Linked DNA regions of Sus scrofa. The protein of the gene in region 3 purifies or fractionates together with the protein of the main gene of each other region. This does not show direct contact. Links are inferred from orthologs where the notes say so. Each region holds a gene or a part of one and is shown on either strand. Other genes may lie near its edges.

The links. The genes of interacting proteins can lie anywhere in the genome.
Region 1: the proteins of G3BP2 (region 3) and CAPRIN1 purify together in Homo sapiens (affinity purification with mass spectrometry; 5 studies listed by BioGRID and IntAct, with this or other methods). This does not show direct contact. The link is inferred for Sus scrofa from reciprocal best matches to the Homo sapiens genes G3BP2 and CAPRIN1.
Region 2: the proteins of G3BP2 (region 3) and STAU1 purify together in Homo sapiens (affinity purification with mass spectrometry; 3 studies listed by BioGRID and IntAct, with this or other methods). This does not show direct contact. The link is inferred for Sus scrofa from reciprocal best matches to the Homo sapiens genes G3BP2 and STAU1.

What each region holds. Positions count from the first base shown.
Region 1 is NC_010444.4:26,842,576-26,850,635, forward strand, and holds part of CAPRIN1 (caprin-1), read right to left. Parts: intron 6,421-8,060; coding exon 6,283-6,420; intron 5,149-6,282; coding exon 5,096-5,148; intron 5,019-5,095; coding exon 4,932-5,018; intron 3,603-4,931; coding exon 3,447-3,602; intron 3,327-3,446; coding exon 3,218-3,326; intron 1-3,217. UniProt on the Homo sapiens protein: mRNA-binding protein that acts as a regulator of mRNAs transport, translation and/or stability, and which is involved in neurogenesis, synaptic plasticity in neurons and cell proliferation and migration in multiple cell types.
Region 2 is NC_010459.5:50,802,609-50,809,883, reverse strand, and holds the end of STAU1 (double-stranded RNA-binding protein Staufen homolog 1), read left to right. Parts: coding exon 1-42; intron 43-227; coding exon 228-547; exon of another isoform or gene 548-1,409; coding exon 1,410-1,532; exon of another isoform or gene 1,533-2,818; coding exon 2,819-2,904; intron 2,905-3,454; coding exon of another isoform or gene 3,455-3,470; exon of another isoform or gene 3,471-3,768; coding exon 3,769-3,862; 3' UTR 3,863-4,925; downstream 4,926-7,275. UniProt on the Homo sapiens protein: Binds double-stranded RNA (regardless of the sequence) and tubulin.
Region 3 is NC_010450.4:71,280,234-71,288,927, forward strand, and holds part of G3BP2 (ras GTPase-activating protein-binding protein 2), read right to left. Parts: intron 8,459-8,694; coding exon 8,377-8,458; intron 7,335-8,376; coding exon 7,161-7,334; intron 6,073-7,160; coding exon 5,982-6,072; intron 5,301-5,981; coding exon 5,201-5,300; intron 4,221-5,200; coding exon 4,040-4,220; intron 3,042-4,039; coding exon 2,943-3,041; intron 1-2,942.

The DNA.
Region 1 (8,060 bases), on a different chromosome or scaffold from region 3:
GTAATCATGAAAATAAACGGGAAAATATAGGTAAGATTTTGGTTTTCAAGTGAGCATTTTCAACTCATTGCCAGTCATTATTAGTCAACTGTCAGAATGGCTTTCACTTTAGTCAAGCAACATAAGGTATTATCAAGACAGTACTAAAAATGAAGTATAGAGCAGAATAATAAGAATCAATGCCAGTGTTATCCAGAGTCTTTTAAAGCAGCAACTATTAAGTGGCATTGCTCTTACACAAGACTTTAGGTAGATAGTATCTAGTGACATTTTTTTTTTTTTTTGTCTTTTGTCTTTTCGTTGTTGTTGTTGTTGCTATTTCTTGGGCCGCGCCCTCGGCATATGAAGGTTCCCAGGCTAGGGGTCGAATCGGAGCTGTAGCCACTGGCCTACGCCAGAGCCACAGCAACGCGGGATCCGAGCCGCGTCTGCAACCTACACCACAGCTCACGGCAACACTGGATCGTTAACCCACTGAGCAAGGGCAGGGATCAAACCCGCAACCTCATGGTTCCTAGTCGGATTCGTTAACCACTGCGCCACGACAGGAACTCCATCTAGTGACATTTTAACATTATTAACTTTCAATACAGTTTCAAATTTTTCCAGGACTTCCCTAGTGGCCTGCCTTGTCACTACTGTGGCACAGATTTGATCCCTGGTCAGGAACTTCCGCATGCTGAACACGTGGCCAAAAAGGGGGGGAAAAAAATTCTAATGTTTCCACAAGGAATAAATAAATAAAAACACACCTTTAAAAGCCTACATACAATTTAGTATACATATTATTGCCAGCTCCCATCATCCTTTCAATCCCTTCCCAAATCACTTTTAGACAGATAATTAAAACAAAGTATCTTAGGAGTTCACAGTTCAGTGGTTAATGAACCTGACTAGCATCCATGAGGACGTGGGTTCAATCCATGGCCTCGCTCACTGGGTTAAGGATCCGGTGTTGCCATGAGCTGTGGTGTAGGTCACAGACTCCGCTCGGATTTGGTGTTGCTGTAGCTGTGGCACAGGCTGGCGGCTACAGTTCCAATTGGACCCCAAGCCTGGGAACCTCTGTATGCCGCCCTAAAGAGACCAAAAAAAAAAAAAAAAAAAAAAAAAGTATCTTAAAAAAAAAAGAAAAAAACATATAGTATCTTTGGTTAGTCATTTGGAAACAGTTATTTTCATTGGAGTGTCTAATGAACTCAGCATTACCGGAATATCTAAATAGCTTTACAGGTTATGTAAGTGCTGCATTTGTGGACTGGCACAGCTAAAACTATTTGTTTTCTCCCTCTGATAGAGCTCAAAAAGTGAACACTAGTAACTCTGATTCCCTGGCTCTGTTTTCTAACTTTTTTTTTTTTTTTTTGTCTTTCTGTCTTTTTGTTGTTGTTGTTGTTGTTGCTATTTCTTGGGCCGCTCCTGCGGCATATGGAGGGTCCCAGGCTAGGGGTCGAATCGGAGCTGTAGCCACCGGCCTACGCCAGAGACACAGCAACGCGGGATCCGAGCCACGTCTGCAACCTACACCACAGCTCACGGCAACGCCGGATCATTAACCCACTGAGCAAGGGCAGGGACCGAACCCGCAACTTCATGGTTCCTAGTCGGATTCGTTAACCACTGCGCCACGACGGGAACTCCTGTTTTCTAACTCTTGGTGGAGAGATATAAGCTCCATTTCTCTAAAGTAGAGAAATCCTAACTACGTTACCATATTAATTGTGTTCATTAAACATGTTTTTACCAGCAACTCCTTTCATGACATTTAAGATTAACAATATTAAATGTGCTACTTTATATGGTTCCACTTTTATGTCCTTAATGCTGGCCTGTTCTAGGAAAAAACAAAACTCAAAATTACTAAACTCAAAAGAGATGCTCCACTGAACACAACACCACGCACCTACCCTATTTAGTATGTTGATGTTTCAAAAACTGGTGTAAAAACAGTAGTTTGAAACTTCAGCTGTCTTCAGTCTATCTTTTCTCCTTTCCTCTTAAGCATTCCCTAAATCACTTCGCTACTGCATCTCATATTTTTATTTAAGTAATAAAATGTTCAGAAATTCTAAAAAGCTGCAATCATCCTTCAAAAAAGACACTTATTTTTATTCCTAGATTAATTTTGAAATAGGAAAAACAGGTCCATAGTTCTGTAAGTCAGGAAGTGGTTAATAAGGGGCAAAGAGGAGTTCCCATCGTGGCGCAGTGGTTAACGAATCTGACTAGGAACCATGAGGTTGCGGGTTCGGTCCCTGCCCTTGCTCAGTGGGTTAACGATCCGGCGTTGCCGTGAGCAAGGGGTTGCAGATGCGGCTTGGATCCTGTGTTGCTATGGCTCTGGCGTAGGCCGGTGGCTACAGCTCCGATTCAACCCCTAGCCTGGGAACCTCCATATGCTGCGGGAGCAGCCCAAGAAATAGCAAAAAGACAAAAAAAAAAAAAAAAAAATAAGGGGCAAAGAGAGAGGGAGGACAAGTAGGCTTCTGGGGTACTGATAATGTTCCACTTCCTGGGTGCTGGTGTGTTCAAGTTTGTGAAAACTCACCGAATTGTAAATCTGCATGTACTTTTTTTTTTTTGTGGCCACCCTGCAGCATATAGAGTTCCCAGGCCAAGGATCAGATTCAAGCCAAAGTTGCAACCTAAGCTGCAGCTATGGCAATGCCGGATCTTTAACCCACTATGCTGGGCCAGGGATTGAGCCTGCATCCCAGTACTCCCAAGACACCACCAATACCATTGTGCCACAGTGTAAACTCCTGCATGTACTTTTATGTATGTCTATTTGCCAGTAAAGTTAACATGATGGAACTACATTTAGTGTTCATATTACAGAAAAAAAAGTAATATTTCCTATAAAATTAAAAGATACAAGATCTAAATATTAAGCAAGCATTAAAGAGAAAAAAATTAATTTTCACAAAGTTCACAAAAACCTGAAAGCTTTGGCTTTATCCTTTATTTCTCAAATGAAAATGTACCATCACTAGAGTTCCTGCTACGGTGCAATAAGTTAAGGATCAGACTGCAGCAGCTTGGGTCACTGTGGAGGTGTGGGTTTGATCCCCAGCCCAGCGGCAGTGGGTTAAGAAACCAGCACTGCACAGCTGCAGTATAGGTCACAGCTATGGCTCAGATTCCATCCCTGGTGGCTAACTTCCATATGCTGAGTGTGTGACCAAAAAACAAACAAACAAAAAGTATCATTACTAACCTGGAGGGCAAACCAGTTGGGGTATGTCCATATTTTGGGCTGGATTCATAGGCTGTGCAGATACAATGGCAGGATCAAGTGTCTGGTTTTCAAAATCCAACATTGAATCCTACAAGTTAGGATACAATGGAATTAAATATGTAAACGCTTAAACCTTCTGTTATAGTGTTTGACTAAAAATGTAAACGCTTAAACCTTCTGTTATAGTGTTTGACTAAACCACACCTACCTGTATGAAATTATAGGGCCCCTGCATTTGCGCCATAAGGTCCTGTACTCGTTGTCTTCTCACGAGAGGATCTGCTTGAGCCACTGGAGTCAAAGAGTGAGGCTCTGGTACTGAAGGAGATGCAGCCTGAGGTTGCTGCTGGAGTGAATTTACCACCTAAAGGGGAATGGATTGGAACAGTGACAGAGGTCCGTCATCATGACCAGTCCCCAAATTACATAGGCCATCTATAGTGTAAACAGAATAGCAGACTCAAATGCAGTCAACCTGACCAAATGATGCTAACTTTAATGTTCTGATCAATGCCACTTCTACAATGTTCCCAATTCCACAGGGTCACCATGTAGACTTTCAGATTTACCCCGTAAACTGCTTTCAACAAACTATCTGTGCTTACTTCCTAAAATCATGGATTTTACTTAAAACTGTTAAGCCTTTACATTAAGTAAGGCTACATATCTATATCAAACATAAATCTATTCCACTACCTGACATATGCTGAACATTCAAGAAATGTTGACTATTATTATCATGAAGCTTGAGCTCCCATCATTTCATTCTCTCTGCAGATACCACAGCATCAAGCTCAATCATTTCATCTAGACTGCCACAAAAGCCAAAGCTCATTCCACCTATCATTTTCCTAGTTCTAATAATTTCTCCTGATTATTGTTTTTAATAACTCCCTGCTCTGCTGAGAAATCGCACTAATTTTTAATTGCCTCAAATTTATATTCCTTTTCTGGCTTTTAAGCCTGAGCAAGTCATACCAGTTGAGCCTGGGCAAGACATAACCTTATCTCCTTTATAAGCAATACTGAGATAACAGAGACTGGTAATCAACAGCACTAGGATGGAGGAGGAATCTAAAATGACACTCCAATGTATCACTCTGTAAGGTAGGTCTTTCTGAAGGCTATCCAAGTGGAAACTCAGATTTTTATAGAGCAACCTGATAAAAAATCATATACTTTGATAGACAGATTAACCCCCTAAATTACACACAGATATTTGTATAATTTCCTTTTTTTTTTTTTTTTTTTTTTTTTTGTCTCTTTAGAGCCACACTCGCGGCATATGGAAGTCCCCAGGCTAAGGGTCAAAACGGAGCTATAGCTCCTGGCCTACACCACAGCCACAGCAACAACAATGCAAGATCTGAGGCAACACAGGATCCTTAACCCACTGAGCAAGGCCAGGGATTGAACCTGCGTCCTCATGGATACTAGTCAGATTCGTTTTCACTGAGCCACAACAAGAACTCCAATATCTGTATAACTTCATATAACTGGATCAGCAAAGCAGTGATTATATTAAATATCCACAGAGATAATAAGCAAACCATCTTTGAAACAGAACAATCTGAGTTTGTTATTATAATAAATGTACTAACAATACAAAATACTTAATCTAAATCTGTTAATTAGGAAATAAAAATTACTATTAAAGACAAAAGACATCAACCTTGTAACAGAGAACTCTTACCTCAACTGTTTCGACTGTCCACTCATCTACCTGCTCCTTTTCACCACTGCTGAACTGTGTTTCTGCCATAAATTGTCTATTTACATACTGCAAAACAAAATAAATATTTGAGACCTCTGTTTGAAAGGCAGAAAGGAAAAGACAGCATTAAATAAAAATCATACCTCTGTTGATTCGACTTCACTTTGTTCAGTGTATTCTTCTGCTGGCTCAGGTTCTAAGAGGTTAAAAAAAAAAACGAGACAAAACAGTGTGAGTTATCTTTTCTTAAAGTTAACAATTAATTCAATCTCCAAAACAATTCACCATCACAGTTTGAATTTATTTAGTTATAGTCAACAGTCAATTTCTATATTTTATTATTCTTACAATATATTTAGAAAGTTTTCCATTTATTCCAAAATAAATTACTTTATTTTAATAGGAGTTATTCCAGATCAAGTATAAATGCCAATAAAACAGCATCCAATTCTCCATTTTAATCTACTTGGTAAAATGAAAGTGATAAGGGGTGGGGGGACAACAACTGTCCTATGTTGCTCTGCCACCATAAATTCCATCAATGTGCAATCTTCTCTTCTAGTTTCAACCTAATAGCTAACACTACTACCATGCCTTACCATGTGCCAGGCACCATATACATGTATTACATATAACTTCCTAAGTGGAGAACCTAAGGTATGGAGAAGTTTGGTAACTCGCCCAAAGTTACACAAAGTGTTGTAGCCAAGATTTTATCCAGGCAGTCTGATTCTAGAATCCATGCTTTTAACCCATTACAAAATGTATACCCCACCAATAATTTCAATAGTACTCAAAATTTTACTCAGCAACTTAAGTTATCATAGAAATACTCATAATAAGTGCTTACCTACATATTAGTGATGTGCTGGGTGCTAGAACAGAACTCTGGCAACTGAGGAATTTATAGTTCAAGATCATGGAATTATAATCCTCCATCATTAAAAAAAAAAAAAAAGAACAAAACCTCACACCATTCATGTCATATACTGGCATGGTAAACGGCAATAAATCTAGGCACATCAGTCAAAAATCTATTTGAAAAGCCTTATAACAGTTGCCTCTCATCCATACTCCAACCCAGCAATACTGCAGCAAGAGAAAACATCAGTTTGTAATTGTGATCAAGATCAGTAAGATAAACAACTGATATTTAATACCTCAGGGAATTACTCTTAATTTGCTTTATCTTAATAAGTGATCATGCTTAAAGTTTCTTTAAAAATCTAAGTGTACATACACAACTAAAGAAATGTACAGCTTGAACTTGTAGTAAAGGAAAATAAAAACAGGACCCTAAACTAAAGCTCACATCCATCTGAGTACTCACCAGCTTCAGCTACCTGGTCTTCAACCGTCGGTGCTGAGGCTGCCTCTTCTTCCTCACAGAGCCCATTCTGGTGGTTGTGGGTGCTGTCAAAGTAGTTTGACTGGAAAACACGCTCAACAATTTCCTTTAGAGCTTTATCTAAAAACAGAATATGAATTATAATCTTGGACTATCTAAGGATGCCTGACTTGAATAAGATTCAACATTCTACAAAATACTGTGGTGGTGGGGGGGAAACCCTCATCACCACCTAAAAACATTAAATTCCAACAGATACTTATAACAGAATGATAGGAGCCAAAAAACTATTTGTAATATTCTTCTTCTTTTTTTTTTTTTTTTTTTTTGCTTTTTAGGGCTGCACCCACAGCATATGAAGGTTCCCAGGTTAGGGGTCTAATAGGAGCTACAGCTGTCAGCCTACACCACAGCTCATGGCAACGCCAGATCCTTAACTGACTAGGCGAGGCCAGGGATCAAACCCGCAACCTCATAGTTCCCAGTCAGCTTCGTTTCCACTGCACCTCAAAGGGAACTCCCTATTTGTAATAAACTTTAAGTATCTTAAATAAGTTAGTTCAAAAAGAGCTAACAATTACCATTTATTCATTCAATAAACACTTATTTAGCACCTAACTATGTGTTAGGCAATATACTAGGCACTGGAGCTACAGAAAGCTAAGTAAAAGATACAGTATCTACCCTCCCTAAGCTTACAGTCCAACTGAGAAGAGTTATCAAACACAAAAACAGTAAAGTTACATCTATGAAAAGTACTACACAGAAGTATAATGGATTGGACCTAGTTAGGGAAAGACCATGATAGGCTTTCTTGGTGTTAAGTACTGCAAGAGCTGAGATCTGGAAGATCAGTAGAAGAAAGGAAAGAAGTGCTTCAAGGCAAAAGCAACATCATTTACAAAGGCCTGTACAAAGAAGGATGCCAAATGTATGAAAATTAAAGTATGCATTCAAGCTGACACCTAGAGAGTAAGAAAAAGCATAAGGAAAAATGAGTCTGAAGAGACTCATATGGGCCAGAACATGCAAAGTCTTCAAAGTCAAGGATAAACGCCTAACAGATGTGATTAAAATAAAATCACTAAAAGACTTTAACGAGGGATGGGTGGTGGTAGATTTATTTAAGAGACTGCATAGACAAGAAAGGCAGAAAAGTAGAGAAAGAGAAGTAGATTCAAAAGATATTTTACGAGTTCGTGTCGTGGCGCAGTGGTTAACGAATCCGACTAGGAACCATGAGGTTGCAGGTTCGATCCCTGGCCTTGCTCAGTGGGTTAAGGATCTGGCATTGCTGTGAACTGTGGTGTAGGTTACAGATGCATCTCAGATCTGTGGCTTTGGCATAGGCCAGTGGCTACGGTTCCGATTAGACCCCTATCCTGGGAACCTCCATATGCAGTGGGAAGTGGCACTAGAAAAGGCAAAAAAATAAATAAATTTTAAAAATTAAAAAAAATAAAAATATCTTAAAGGCAAATAAAACTGTCAGAATTTGGTACACGAAGACATAAAGGGCACATGAGAGCAGTGGAGGAAGGTATCTGTCAATTACTCTCAATTTCCTGGCCTGGTAGAGTAGATGTAGAGTAAGGCTATTTCCTAATGGATCACTACAGAGAAAAATGTTCGGGGACAACATTACATCAAAGTATTATCAAATTAATCCTATTAAAAATAAAACTATCAAAAAAAACCAAAAACCAGGAGCACAGCCAAAAAAACAAGGAAAAAATTTTTTTAATTTAAAAAGTGTATGA
Region 2 (7,275 bases), on a different chromosome or scaffold from region 3:
TAACCTTTTTTGAACCTGGCTCTGGGGATGAAAACGGGACTAGTAAGTGTGATGTTAACCTGTCTTGACCTGAGTGTGATCCTGGGCTTCACGTGGTTCCCAGTAAACGAGCATCCGTCTTGGGCCTGCATGAGCCCTGTGCCGAGAGGGCCGGTGTGGGATTGTACATCTTTCCAGACAGCACATGTGGACTTGTGTTGATTTGTCGTGTGTCCCTCCCTCTCCAGGCAATAAAGAGGACGAGTTTAGGATGCCTTATCTTAGTCATCAGCAGCTGCCTGCTGGAATTCTTCCCATGGTGCCTGAGGTTGCCCAGGCCGTAGGGGTCAGTCAAGGACATCACACCAAAGACTTCACAAGGGTGGCTCCAAATCCTGCCAAGGCCACGGTAACTGCCATGATAGCCCGTGAATTGTTGTATGGGGGCACCTCGCCTACAGCCGAGACCATTTTAAAGAATAACATCTCTTCAGGCCACGTACCCCATGGACCCCTCACGAGACCGTCCGAGCAGCTGGACTATCTCTCCAGAGTCCAGGGATTCCAGGTAACTGTGAGGCCTGAGTTGTGTCCTGTACCTCAGTGCAGTCATCTCTGCTTCCTCGCAGATCTGAGTACCTCGTTTGTGGTTTTGTTGTTGTTGTTAGGGCCGCACCCACGGCATTTGGAAGTTCCTAGGCTAGGAGTCAAATTGGATCTACATCTGTCGGCCTACACCACAGTGACAGCAAGGTGGGATCCAAGCCGCATCTGTGACCCACACCACAGCTCACGGCAATGCAGGATCCTTAACCCACTGAGCAAGGCCAGGGATCGAATCCACAACCTCGTGGATGTTAGTCGGGTTTCTTTCCTCTGAGTCACGATGGGAACTCCACCGCCTTTTTTTTTTTTTTTTTAAATCAAAATCTTTGTCCAGGGGGATGGTTGGGGACGGTTGGTCAAGGGTGGTCCTGAGGTCAGGGAGGGGGGTGGTGCTGCTGTGGAAGGTAGTGGAAGCCTGGATGGTAAGAGAATCCTCAACCTTTGGTAGTAACATTTTAACAATCCAGACCAACCATATTAACAAAGCCTCTAATTCGGTGGTAGTTACACATTTAGACTTCAGTGAGCACAGACTCCTTGTGCTGGCCCTTTCTGCCTGGTAGGAAGGACATGGCTTCTTCCAGAGGAAGGTTTTTAAGTAGAATCTAGGTTCCTAGAAGATTCTGCAAACTGGGGCCCTGGTAACCTGCCTTCAGCCCAGGTGCCTCTTGGCCCCTCCGACAGTCTCTAGTGCCTGTTGAGCCGGAGTTGGTGTAGCCAGGTCACTCCAGGGAGAGAGGAGTCTTGTCTGCTGGGCCCAGAGCCGAGGCCCTGTCCCGTTCCCCGCTTCCCTAGCCTTGCCTTGGTTTTCTTTTCCCCTTTAGGTTGAATACAAAGACTTCCCCAAAAACAACAAGAACGAATTTGTATCTCTTATCAACTGCTCCTCTCAGCCGCCCCTGATCAGCCATGGTATTGGAAAGGATGTGGAGTCCTGCCACGACATGGTACGTTTCCCGCACGGTGCGCTGGCTCAGGCAAGGCCCTCTTCTAGACTCTGACAGTGGCTGGTCTCACAGATTCCTTACGTCGGAAGCCTTTTTTCTTCGGTTACTGCCTTAACTTCTCACTCTTTATCAGAACTCTCCTCCCTTCCCTTGCTGACCTGGCAGGGAGACTTGGATCCTGGACCCTCTCCAGATGCTGTATTCAGTTCATTTCTTATTGAAACAAGGAGTAGCAGGGCCAAGTGTTGGCACCTTAAAAAGCCCCTTGTTTTGGTGTTCTGTTCAGATGAAATTATTGTTGTAAGAAATATTACAAACCAAGGAAAGGAACTGATTAATTTACACAGACTGGCATATTCACCTGGTGGAGTATAATGCATCCATCACATTAATGTCACTGAAAGTAATGCATTCTAACAAGGAACCATGGTAGGCTTTTTTATTTTTTTAAATTTATTCTTTGACCACGTCCATGGCATGTAGAAATGCCTGGGCCAGGGATAGAACCCCATCACGGCAGTGACCCAAGTCACTGCACTGACAGTGCCAGATCCTTAACCTGCTGAGCTGCAAGGGAACTCTATGATAGACTGTAATTTAATTTTTGTCTTTTGTCTTTTTAGGGCCGCACCCACAGCTATGGAGGTTCCCAGGCTAGGGGTCTAATTGGAGCTACAGCTGCTGGCCTGCAGCATGGCCAGATCTGAGCCATGTCTGTGACCTACACCACAGCTCCCAGCAACTCTGGATCCTTAACCCACTGAGCAAGGCCAGGGATTGAATCCAAAACCTCATGGTTCCTAGTCGGACTCGTTTCTGCTGTGCCATGACAGGAATTCCACAACCTCTGTTATTTTATAGCAGGATATGAACTTTGTACAGGCTGGTGACCACAAGATTAAAAATACTAGAAGGCAGTACGTATACAACTAAGAGGTTGTGGTTCAGTGAGATAACCATGCGCAACTTTTTCTTTTTGGCCACACCCGTGGCGTGTTGAAGTTCCCAGGCCAGGGGCTGAACCTGAGCCACAGCTGTTCTCTGCACAGTTCTCTCCACTGCGCAGAGAGAACACCAGATCCTTAACCCGCTGCACCAGTGGCTCCTGGATAATTTTTTTTTTTTTTTTACATTTTTGGTTAAGAAGTTAAACATGAGAAAGTGTTATTTAGTGAGAACACCAGTTTTGTGGGGCAGTAGGAGAATCCTTCGCCTCCTCATTCAGCATCTTTTGACCGTGGTCCTGAACAGTGCCGTGTTTTAACTTTTCTCTCCATTCCTGCTAGGCTGCACTGAACATTTTAAAGTTGCTGTCTGAGTTGGACCAACAAAATACAGAGATGCCAAGAACAGGAAATGGACCAATGTCTGTGTGAGTCAGCCGATTATATGAAAAGCAGTTCTGTTCCTCCTTTGCATTAAATTCAAATCGTGTGCTCACTGGTGAAACACTCATCTCAGTCACTCTGTCATTCCTCTGAAAGCCTTCCTTAAGCAGAGAGCTCTTTTTCTCCAATTTTGAGTAACATTCGCATGGCTCAGATTTATTTTAAAAAGGTGTACCCAGTGCTAAATCTTGCCCTCATGCAGTCCTCATCTATATCATTCTCTCCACCCAGAGATAACATTTTTATTGTTTCTTGTGTTCCCTTCCCATGTTTCTTTGTGCAAATATATTTCTTTCCTTATCTTCTCCCCCCCCCCGAGATAATGTCCGATAGACATATTATGTAAACACGCACACACTCACTCTCTTCTTTGCTATTTCCACTTGTAGTGTATTGGGGAAAACTTTAATCCAGTTATCATAAACTGGGGCCTGGGCTATTAGACTTGTGTCTGCTAATTTTATTTTTAATATGGCTTACTTTTCTTAAATTTCAAAACTTGGGTCATTTCTATTTTTTTCCTTTTCCTTAAAGGTGTGGGAGGTGCTGAACCTTATGGCCACATGAACCGTTGAAAAATCCCAACATATATACTGAAAATATTGAAACTGCTTTGAAAATTTGGAATTTCTGATACCTCCAGTGGGCCGAGAGACATGATGGTTAAAGGACTGGAGACAGCAGTGGTGACCAAGGCGGCAACAGGAGTAGCTGCTGCTGGGGGCGGGGCGGGGCGGGCCTGCCAGGCAGCCCTGGCGCCACTGGGAAACCAGCAGGTCCGTACCCCAGGCACCTCAGTGCTTGGTTTTAGTAGTTTTTTTTGGTTTTGGGGTTCTTTTTTTTCCTTGCTGTGTGAAAGAAGCAGAAAGCACGACTCCTCAACTGGCTCACTCAAACACTTTGGGACAAATCCTGGACACCCACACTGGAGCGAGGCCTTAGTCTGAAAGCACCAGAGAAAATCAGATGCTTCCTCCTCAGCGCAAGTTGACCTTCTTGGCGTGCTCTGGCCCACCACCTCCCGCGGTACCCACACCGTTGCCACTGCTCTCTTCCAAAAGAGATATGTATTCTTAGTTTCATTACTTTCTTTTGATTGAAATGACACTATATAAATTTTCATTTGAGAGTTTCTCAATTGTATCTAGTTACATAGCACAGTTTAGAAACTTGTCTGAGACTGACTTTATCAGTAACATAACCGGCAAAGATCATATCCATGTGTATGTGGTTATACGTTTTTACTTCATTGGACCTGCCCAGGACCATTTCAGTGATGCAAATTGTGTGGCCTCTGGTTTAGCTGAAACAGTCCTGGACTTCTCAGAACCCTTGGTGAAGTCTCCCACAGTTGTATAAATTGAACAGTTTAGGAATTTTAAACTTTAAACGATCATCTGGTTCCTTTTCTATTTTATTTTTGTTTATGCAGCAGGACAAACAAATGAACTCTGATCTTTGTTTCAAAGACTATTAAAAATTGTGTGTATGTACATGACTCTTGAGGACACAGAGCTTTCACTACACTACAGGATATGATCTCATGTAGCACATATACAACTGCAGATTGATCTTCCTTGAGTGCTTTACACTGTTGATTACATCTCCATGTAGGGCTGAAAAGAATGACCCATGTTTATCTCTAACTGTGTTGCTTTGGATGTTGTGTTGCTGTGCACAGACACGTGTGCAGCGAGGTCCTGCATATGGTCCAGATGAAGAGCACGGTAGCCTTGCGAGTTAAGTACTGCTTCCATTTTTTCTCCCCATGGAATGTAAGTAAAACTTAAGTGTTTGTCACCAATAAATGGTAATACTAAATTTTTTTTGTTAATTTATTCTCCAATGCCACTACTGCCAGGTTGGTCCCTCCCAACCTGTCCCCTTTTGTTATTTTTAAGAAAAAACTTTGTAATGCTTGTGATTCCATTTGGGCAAAACTCTGAAGCTCTGAAATAACTTTATATCAAACCATTGATCAATAAACAGCTACTAATGAATTTCAGTCCTGTTGAGCAGTAACTAACGCAGTAAGGGAAGATGTGAGTGAGGGCACGGAAGCATGGTGTGGGGGGCACCGCTGCCAGGGAGAGACGTGTGGGCACCAAGGTGAAGGGAGGCGCCTCTCCTGTGCACCTGACATTGTCACCTGAAGAAATGACCAATAGGAGGAGAGGGGCTTCCCGGTCACTTCCTCAGACGCCTTCGCTGTCAGAGTAAAGGTGCAGTATTTCCTTCTGGCCAGGCTGTGGAGTGAGCTAGTGGCTGTGTTTTAATTTTAGAAGATGCTCATTAAGGTGGTCCATTTTATAAAACCAGCCTACAAACTGGACTGCGAGAATAACTGGAAGTGATCAGAAGGTTATGGAAAATGCTGAAGCGGTAGAAGGGGACACAACTTGGCAGGGGCGAAAGCAGTGAAAGGAAATTAGAGATGTTCCCTTTCCAGTCCTGGATTCAGCATTTCTCCAAGGAGCCCTGATGCTCTTTAGTGACAGATCACGTTTAGAAACCAAGATCTGAGAGCCACCGCCTCTGGGGTGTTGTTAGGAAATGCATCTGTGTATGTCTCTTGACTTGTTTCTCTATGTAAAGCCATGCCTTTGAACTGATACCTCTGGCACTCAGGTTCTTCACAGCCTTCGCTCTGTGTCTTTAGCACCTTCTCCAATATGGAGGTCATAGCCCATCCCCCAGCCGTGCCAGCCACTTCCTCCACTTTAACACCTGCCCCTCCTGCCCCAATCCAGTCTCCCCTCCTTGCCTCAGAGTGTGTCCAGCCAGTGACGCTCCACACTGGAGGGAAGATGGGAAGGGCAGGACAGTACAGTCTTAGAAGTAATCACAGCTTCTAGCTGGCGGTTTCTTGTTGGCCCTCAACTGACAGCACTCCAGAAAGGGAGAATTTAGTGTCTGTGATATTAAGAAGGATCTCCAGGTTTCTTTGACAAAGGTTTTTGGAAGGTGATCCATCTCTGGTTGCTTTGCAGAAATGTCCGGATGGGCTTGTCCTTGCATGCTCCTTCCCTGTAAACTCAAACCAGCCTTGCCTCTGGGAAGGCCGTGTTGCTGCCATCGCCTGCTGAGGACTCACTCAACCTGCAGTAGCTCTGTCTCTGGGGGTTTTGAGAGAACTGAGAATTGAGTGATTGCACTAAGTTTTATCCCCACATGATCTCTAAGAGTTGCAAGAACTTTGACTCAGAACTGAACTAGATACTTCAGCCCATGGGACAATAGAGGCTTGTCCTGGTTCTAGACGACAGGCAGAAAAAGGCAGTGAGACACCTGATGAGGCAGGTGTGAGATATTGCACGTCAGCCACAATCAGAATGAAACAGACTGGTGGGCCTCTGGATGTGTGGATCCTTGGTCCTCAGAGATGAAGCCGCTTGCTCCTGGGTTCTTAGAGTAGACAGACTTGGGACTTGATTGTCCCAACAGCTGCACTGACATTAGGTCATGATTTTGTAAAAGTTCCTCTTATCACAGGGAGATTTTAATGAGTAAAGATGATTTCCCCATAGCTGGATTTTGTTTTGGTTTATTGTTTTTAAAGGATTTCTTGAGCCAGAAGAATGTGGACTGTAGCTCTTGGGAAAGTGTCATTTCTGAGTCTAGGTTTCCTTCCACAGCCCACTGAGCTAATGTGTGTGTGGCTTTGCAGCAGCGTTGGCCCGGATCCCAAGGTCTGTTCGAGATTGAAGGGAGTCTGGGATTGGTGTGAGCATTGGGAAGAGAAGCCTGGCCCTTGCCAAAAATCAGTAAACTGCCCCTGCTGCTGCTCTGGAGGCTCATGTGAGCTCAGGGCAACATGACCACCAGGAAACTTAAGCTAGGAAACCTCCATCACTAGCATCTCTGATTTAAGTGCCTAATGTCTGTGTGCCCTTAGAAAACAAGTTAATGGATTTGTCAAGCACCTAAGCATTGCTGGATTGGCAGGGAGGATTTAGCCAATTTTCTTAAAATAGGCTTAAGAGGCAAAGCTAACGAAGACAGGAGGAGGAGCAGACTGTTAGAGGCGTGCCGGCAGTGCAGAATGCAAAAGGGAAAACTCGCCCGGACCCTAATGATAGTTTATCTTCCTGTCTGATTGGCTACTGCGTACTTGCAATGGTGTGTTTAATGTATATATAGAATAACATACAAAACTAAATTTTTTTTCCCTGTCTTTTAGGCCTGCACCTGGGAGTTCCCAGGCTAGGGGTTGAATCAGAATCCCAGCCTAAACCACAGCAGTGCCAGATCCAAGCCACGTCTGTGACCTACACCACAGATCATAGCAATGCCAGATCCTTAATGCACTGAACGGGGCCAGGGATCGAACCTGCATCTTTATGGATACTAGTCAA
Region 3 (8,694 bases):
TATGTATTTATTCCTTAAGGACAATATCTTAATCTGTTGCTACACCAAGTAAAGAACCAAGCACAGTGCCATTAAACATGGATGTTCAATAACTATTGGTTCATTTAAAATCAAATTCCACTTTTAGGTCTCTAATCCATAACATGTAGGAGGAGAATGTTCTACGCTTGACATAGAGCCTAAATTACAGCACTGAGACTGTTGCTCTCTGTATCTGGAATTTAACATTACATAGTAATTTGACCAAAAATGTGATGCCTAAAAAAGGTCAGTTATTTAGAAATTTCAACTAAGGCGGGGGAATGGGAGAAAGGGCCTAAAAGCACAACTTACTTCAGTATGAATGTAAAACAGAATTAAAGAATATATGGTCTCTAACAAAGTGTGACAAAGATACTATGTTTCAGAAATTAATAAAAAATAGCAAATGTACATCTTTCATAAAAATCTCAGGAAAATCTCAACTCATTCAATTCAGGAAAAAGAACTCTGCCTGACTGATTCAAATTCTTTTAAAAACAGATTATTGAAACAAAAATAACTACAGAAAGTACTTCATCATCTTTTAAGGATTTAAAATTAAAAAAACACCAACTAAGCCAGCTGTGCACTTAGAATTTTTTAGGCTCAATATCATGAAAATTATTTGTTCCATTAAGGTAAAATAACTAAGATATCACATACTACTTTAGGGCCTAAAATTAATTCCACAAAATCAGAACATGTGCTCACATGACAAGTCCCACAAATGAAGATCAAACAGAATACGAAGTAAAAATGAAACCAACAAATCAAGTCAACAAAAGCAAATAAAAACATAATATATACTTCAACTGAATACAAGCTACTTAAATGAACTAATTAATTTTTAAGAAATTTACCACGTTAGGAGTTCCCGTCATGGCACAGCGGAAACAAATCCAACTAGGAACCAAGAGGTTGCGGGTTCAATCCCTGGCCTCACTCAGTGGGTTAAGGATCTGGCGTTGCTGTGAGCTGTCGTGTAGGGCGGCAGCTGAAGCTCTGATTAGACCCCTGGCCTGGGAACCTCCATATGCCACAAGTATGGCTCTAAAAAGCAAGAAAAGAAAAAAAAAAAAAAAAAAAAAAGAAATTTACCAAATTAACTTACCTACTTCTAAATTAATGCCTACCAATATCTTAGAATTAGATTTAATTATTCTATTAATCTATACATGTTTATTAATCTATTTCATGTTAAGGAAATGGATACTACACCAAAGCAGCAAAATTTTGAAGGGTTTATTAAATCAAGTGGAAAAATCATGAATCCATTCTAATATAGCTTAAGGAGTTCTGAAAGTTTTTTTAAGATTTAAATTATAAATGTTAAATTTTTTTTTGTTTTAATAAAGGGGTGTGTTGGCAAATACAATTCAGTCCCTTACAATTGAAAGGAAAAAAAACAAAAACAAAAAAAAAATTTTTTCCTGGACGAGAGGCTAGAATCTAACGTAATATAACTTAGACATAGCACTCTTCTTTTCTAATGTAAATAGAGATACACTCCGCGCCCCCCCAAAGGCTATAAAGAAACCTACAGATTTGCATGAGTGTCCAACTGTAGGAACTGAACGCCCAGGCCTACTACTTTATTTATATGGCTGTCTGACCTTGGGTGACGTACTCTAGACCTCTATTTACTAATCTTAAAAAGGAATAATAATAGTAAACATTCTCACAGGGTGCTTGTGAAGATTAGAGATGAGAGTAAATATTAAGTGCTTTGCACAATACCTGGCACTATACTAAATTAAAGGTGTGCTAATAAGAATTAACTGCTGTAACTTTTGACTATCAGCTAATTTAAAATAAACATAGCCAACTCTCTGAAATCAAGTACCAAGATTCCAAATGCAAATCCAATAGGAAATCAAGCATGTCAAAAGAAAATCCAGAAGTCACTTACTGGATCTTCAGATGGGTAGAAAAAGACAATCAGTACTTGGCAAATTAATTTTCTTCATTAACACAGAATTCTGATTTGTAATCTGAGGTAATTACTCAATATTTCCTGAATATCTATCTAGTCAAAGAAAAATACAAAAAACAAAACCAGGTACGGCAAGGCCAGTATTCTATTTTGTAGCTGATTATCTGTAATAACACCCAGGAAGACAGTCGAATAATTACTAGCTACTTCTGAAAAATCTCAAAAGTTTCACCATTTAGAGCATATTGAGAGTTGTAAAGACAATTTTATGTGCACTAACCATTTCAAATGTAAATTTTCTAGTGGAATGAAGTTTGACTGAAAATGCAGGGAAAAGAACTGGACACCCTTTAAGTGTGCCTATTAACTTCAGAATTTAGCTAATTGTAGACTATATACAATAAACATACTAGGTAGCCAGTGTCTTACTTCCAATGTTTTTGAAAGCTCTGAAATGGGCAAGATGACAAACAGACAAAAAGCAGAATACTAGAACAATCAGTAAAGGTGAACACTACAGTCATAAGTTGGTACAGGCTTCAATTAAACTGTATGAACCACTTACAGACTGAAAGCTCAGGCAGTGTATTTTTTTGATGTTTTCTCTTTTTTAAAAAAACAATGATACTTTATAATGCCATACTACTTTGTGCCTTTCCAAATTTCTTCCCTAAAATATTTTTGCTAAATAAAATTTTAATCTTTTAAAAAAGAATATTTTTTTGGTTATTTTAAGAAGCCTTTTAAATGACCACATATATTGGTAAAGCCAACTTAATCTGTATTTCACACACCCAAACCCCAAATACCACCTCTGTAGATGATGAATGGAGATCTGGCGTTTAAAGTGGGTGTCACTGACATTTAATACATTTTTTTTGTATATTTAATCCATAATTTCTGATTGACTCATTTTTAAAAGTATAAAAAAGATAAGCAATTGGCAATGTAACAAGGATACAATCCAATGTGTTCACAGATTGGTTACCTGTGAGACTGGTGCTTTAACATGGGGTGGAATTCCAGAGGAAGAAACAGTACCACTAGGAGGCAGGTTTTTACTGGTCACTGAAGCCCAGGAGAAAGCCTGCAGGAAATGCAACAAACCTAGACTACTAATCACGGAAAACCACCAACATTCCTATAGGGAAACTTCCAAATATATATTTTCTTTTCATTTCTAAACTATTGCTTTATATTGGAGGACTCCTAAAAGAAAGGCACACACACACATGCCAGTCTATGTGCCAGCTTTCAAAATCTCATTATGCAAGAAAATTATTTGACTGTTTTGTCTGAACTACTAAATAAATCCACAAGCAAGTTCCTATATGCTCTAAGTAGATGAGCAGGTTCAAACAAAACCACTAACAACTACATATGCTAGAAAAATAAAAACCTATTAGAACTAATTTCCTTCCCCTTCTGGGGACGACAGGGTGTTGTGACGGTGTTAAGGGGAGAAGGGAAGGATAGATAGGAAAGAAGAGAGTACCAGCTGGAAATTTTAACAGACATTCACAAATTGAACAAGGAATCTCCTTCTCTCACTACCCAAATATACTTTAACCTTCTACTTTACAGAAAGATAAAAGAGGTTTTAAGGTAGGTTTAAACAATACCCTACGGGTGTCACTCATCTTTCCAAGAGTTTCATTGGTGTAGTAAGGAAGCTGTTCCCATTTAAACCAGAAATAACATATATCACTCCTTTCAATAATAAGCCAACTTGTTTTAGTTGGGATATTGCATGACTCCTACTGCATCCGTGCATAGAGGGCTGAATACGGAATGGAAGAGCAACTCTCAGCTTTACATGGACTCGAACAACTTCAATTAAGATACTAAACATTGCATACAGACAAGGATTCATCTTAAATTTTACTCTTAGAGGTGTTTTTCAGGGGATAAAAATACAATTTCCTCGGAATTAAAAAAAAAAAAGCCATAGCTTCTTTCATATACATAAAAAAGAATAGTTTACTAGTAAACAATTTACCACCACAGAACAAAGGTCATGCTTCATTAATGGCACAAAAGATGAAAGTGCGATGCTATAGGTCTAAAGAGCTCCTGTGATCTAACCTTTGGTGGTTCCTGTGGCAGAGACACAGGTTCAGCAGGAGGAGGAGAAGTAGACTTCTCCTCTAATTCTTCTAAGTTTTTCTCCTCCACTTGTGGTTTCAGCTCTTCAGTCTTTGTTTCAGATTCTGGCTCAGGTTCAGGTTCATGAGAGGATTCTTCCAAAGGCTCCTCTATGCCATTACTACAATAAAATATTTTATTCACTTTTCAATATGAGTGAAATGACCCATTCAAATAAAAGAAAATATAGCATTTCTCTAACAGGCATAACTAATAACAAGCTGTTCTGAAGCAAAAATTTAAAACTAGAAGGCAGAGGAAGTAATACTCTCAAACAGAATTTCTTTTTTCTGGCCGCAGGCATGGTGTGCAGAAATTCCCCAGGGCCAGGGATCAAACTCATGCCATAGCAGTGACCAGAGAAGCCACAGCATGAACAACCCCAGGATCCTTAACCTATTAGGTCACCAACGTACACCTCAAGTGGCATTTCTTTAACATCTGTTTCTTTAAATCCATTTAAAAACAGGATTACTAAAAATGTTTATCACTTTAGCACTAGTTATAAATAAACCCCATATTTAAAAAATAAAATGCTGGAGTTCCCGTCGTGGCGCAGTGGTTAACGAACCCGACTAGGAACCATGAGGTTGCGGGTTCGGTCCCTGCCCTTGCTCAGTGGGATAACGATCCGGCGTTGCCGTGAGCTGTGGTGTAGGTCGCAGACGCGGCTCGGATCCCGTTGCTGTGGCTCTGGCGTAGGCCGGTGGCTACAGCTCCGATTCAACCCCTAGCCTGGGAACCTCCATGTGCCGCGGGAGCGGCCCAAGAAATAGCAACAACAACAACAAAAAAAAGACAAAAGACAAAAAGACAAAAGACAAAAAAAATAAAAAAAATAAAAAAAATAAAATGCTGTTTTGTCCCAGACACTATACATTAGTAGTAAGTGATCAGTTTTGGACCAAAACATGTTCAATTTTTGAATTAAATAAAACAACATTTTCCAAATTTCTTGCATATACACAGTAAATACTCAAATGCTGGCTTGTTATTGATAGTGTCAGCAAAAATTTACTTCCAACAATTCCAGGTACAAAAACCACCTTGCAAATACATTATAGTTTAGAACAGATTTGGCCTTGCAAACACTATTCTTACGTCACAGGGTGAGCTTCATAGTAACCACTGTTAGTTTCCTGCACAGGTTCTGGAGTTGGTTGCCTTTCTTCTTGTTCCTCTTCTACTTCATCCTCTGATTCTGACAATATATAAAATACACCACATCTCTTTTTAAGAGGCTTAATACACAATTTGATAGGTGTATTTTAAATGTGTAAAGATGTCATATGATAGTGAACTCCATGGAATTGACTCTATTTTTTAAAAACACCTATTAGTAAGAAAAGGGTAGTAAAAATGATATATAAAGTCATAACTCAGTTTCCTTCATCACCATCTATTCAATGGAGCAATAATAATAAAGAAAAGGAAGCAAACTGGTATGTATCAATGGAAGATCAATTAAATAACTGATCTTAAATATTAAATATGGATTAAAAAAAATCAACAGCCAACAAAGATACAGATATATTAAAGGAAAAAAAGAAAAGAAAACAAAAAAGCAAGCTTTGAGCTAGCATACTTCCACTTTTATAAAAGTAATGATCAGTGTAAGATATAACCAAATTCTGTGATAGGCACTAAATGCTTGGTTGCCTTTAGAAGATGAGATTGAGGAAGTTTTTTTCATTTTCTATGTCTGACTTATAATCATAAAAATTTCATAAAATGAATATCTATAACAAGAATCGGGAACAGGAAAGGAGAAAAGGGAGTTAGCCTCAGTTATAACAGAGGCAAATTTATTTGTTTCATACTTTGCAGGTCCTTAAAGAATATCCATACTGACAGAACCCTTGTATCTTAAAAGTAACCTCACCTTCATCAAGTTCTGGTTCAGAATCACCAAATACTTCATCTTCATAACGAAACATATCATTGTGAACATAAAACTTATTTGGAACAGATCCCTGTAGGAAAATAACATCCAAATATTCCATTAATACCCATAAATGTAGCATTAAATTAAGAAGAATAAAAACAATTTCTATTTTAACAGTACAGAAATAATCTTTCAAAGTTGAATGTGCTATGATGTTAATACAAAGCAAATCACAGTAGATTACTCAAAACACTGAAGCTCAAGAAATGTCTACTAAACATAAAAGAACCAGGACTAATTTACATATGGGATGTTCCCATTTTGTTTATAATATGTAATCTATTAAATATAATAATATGCTTTTAATATTATCTCTGTAGTCTTAATCATCTATTATCAGGACCTCACTTTTACTGAGAAATCAAAGCACACACATAAAGCTCAAGTAAAGTAATCAACAGATCCAATACAGATTTCTCAAAAACAGCTACATGCAGGGAGTTCCCGTCATGGCTCAGTGGTTAATGAACCCGACTAGCATCCTTGAGGACGCAGGTTTGATCCCCGGCCTCGATCAGTGGGTTAAGGATCCAGCATTGCGGTGAGCTGTGGTGCAGCTCTCAGATGCAGATCAGATCTGGCATGGCTGTGGCTGTGGCATAGGCTGATGGCTACAGCTCCAATTCAACCCCTAGCCTGGGAACCTCCATATTCCATAGGTGTAGCCCTAAAAAGACAAAAGACAAAAAAATAAAAATAAATAAAAATAGCTACATGCATATCTGTGCCTGTAAGAAGAAACTCTGGACACTTCAAGAAACTATTAATAGCAAAATAAAATCACATAAATGAGGACTTCCCATTGTGCTCCAGAAGAAACGAATCTGACTAGGAACCACGAGGTTGAGGGTTTGATCCTTGACCTTGCTCAGTGGGTTAAGGATCCAGCGTTGCTGTGAGCTGTGGTATAGGTCGCAGACAAGGCTTGGATCTGGCATTGCTGTGGTTCTGTCGTAGGCCAGTAGCTACAGTTGTGATTAGATCCTTAGCCTGGGAACCTCCATATGCCGAGGGTGGGGCCGTAAAAGGACAAAAAAATAAAAATAAAAAAATAAAAAAAATAAAATAAAATAAAAAAATCACATAAATGAAAAATTAATAGAAGTGAAAACTTACTTCAGGAGCCAAAACAAAGGTCTGCATAAACTTCCTCTCTGGCTGTCCGCTATTAGACAGCAAACCCATGACCTGGACAACTACTCCATCACTCAAGGTTGCATGAGCATCCACATGACGAATTTTAGTATGACATTCACTGAAGTTCAGAGACAATACTTTGTGGTGTATATCCTTTATTAGAAAAAGAAAGTAGGGAGGAAATACAAACTTGTGATACTGCATTACCCATTCGATACTACAAACTTGCACTGATTTCCTCACAACTCTAGAATATTGACTACTGAACCTCTCTGCCTTATTTGAATCCATTACACCATGTTATGCATTACTGCCAGACCAAAGTTCCTAAATCCACTAGTTTCAACATGTCACCTCTCTATAGAAGAAATCACAATGCCTGTCTCATATTACAGGCTTTATACCGCTTTCTCCCACTGTTCTGTATTAAGTATTCAGTCATTCACACGAACTGTGTGGACTACTCCTTGACCTCATACCTAATTTTACATTACTGCTTGTCAGCTGGTGTCATTTCTTCTACTTGCAACTTACTCTTGCTTGGCAAGTTCAAATGCTATGACTCAAGAGTCTCACTGAAGTTCCACATCCTCTACAAAATCGTAAGGTGTATATAATACTGTGCATTACTTTAACATAAACTTTATGGGAATCTGGGGTTTACAGATGCAAACTATTGCATTTGAAGTGGATAAGCAACGAGATCTTGCTGTATAGCACAGGGAACAATATTTAGTCACTTGTGATGGAACATGATGGAGGACAATGTGAGAAAAGCAATGTGTATATATATGTGTGTGTGTGTGTCTGACTGGGTCACTTTGCTGTTCAGTAGGAAATTGACAGAACACTGTAAACCAACTATAATGGAAAAAGTTAAAATCATTAAAAAAAAAAAAAAGCTTTCTACAGTGTCTCAACTGTTTCATACTTAAAACACACCAAGGATATAAAAAAAGTCCCACTCTCCTTTGTATCCAACCCAAATGTAATACTATGCTTCATACAAAATGGGTGTTTATAAGAACTCAACGCACACTGGACAATTACTGTAACAAATTCTAACAAATTCTAGTGCAGCTAATTGATCACATTCAAGAAAAAAATCCATGGGCACAAGAAGGCTACTTTCCAAATCTCTATCTTAAAATTCAAAAAATAAAATAATCTAAATGTATATGAAATTGATACTTACATTTTGTCCATAAACAGCCTCCTGGGGCTTTCCACTAGCATCTACTCCACCATGAACATAGGAAGAATTCCTACCATAAAACCTGTAAAACCATTGATTAAAAAAAAAATTAAGATGCAGTAGAGTTCTGGTGTCAAGCAAACCTAGTTTCTAGGTAACTTCTCCATGAGGTTGTACAGATTAAATGACTAATGATGCAGAATTCTTCATGTGCCTAGCATGCTAAATGTATATACTCAATCATTAGCTATTCTCATCTAATTCTTACCACATCTATACTTTGATAAGTGGAGAAATGAAATGTTCAAAACATATTCT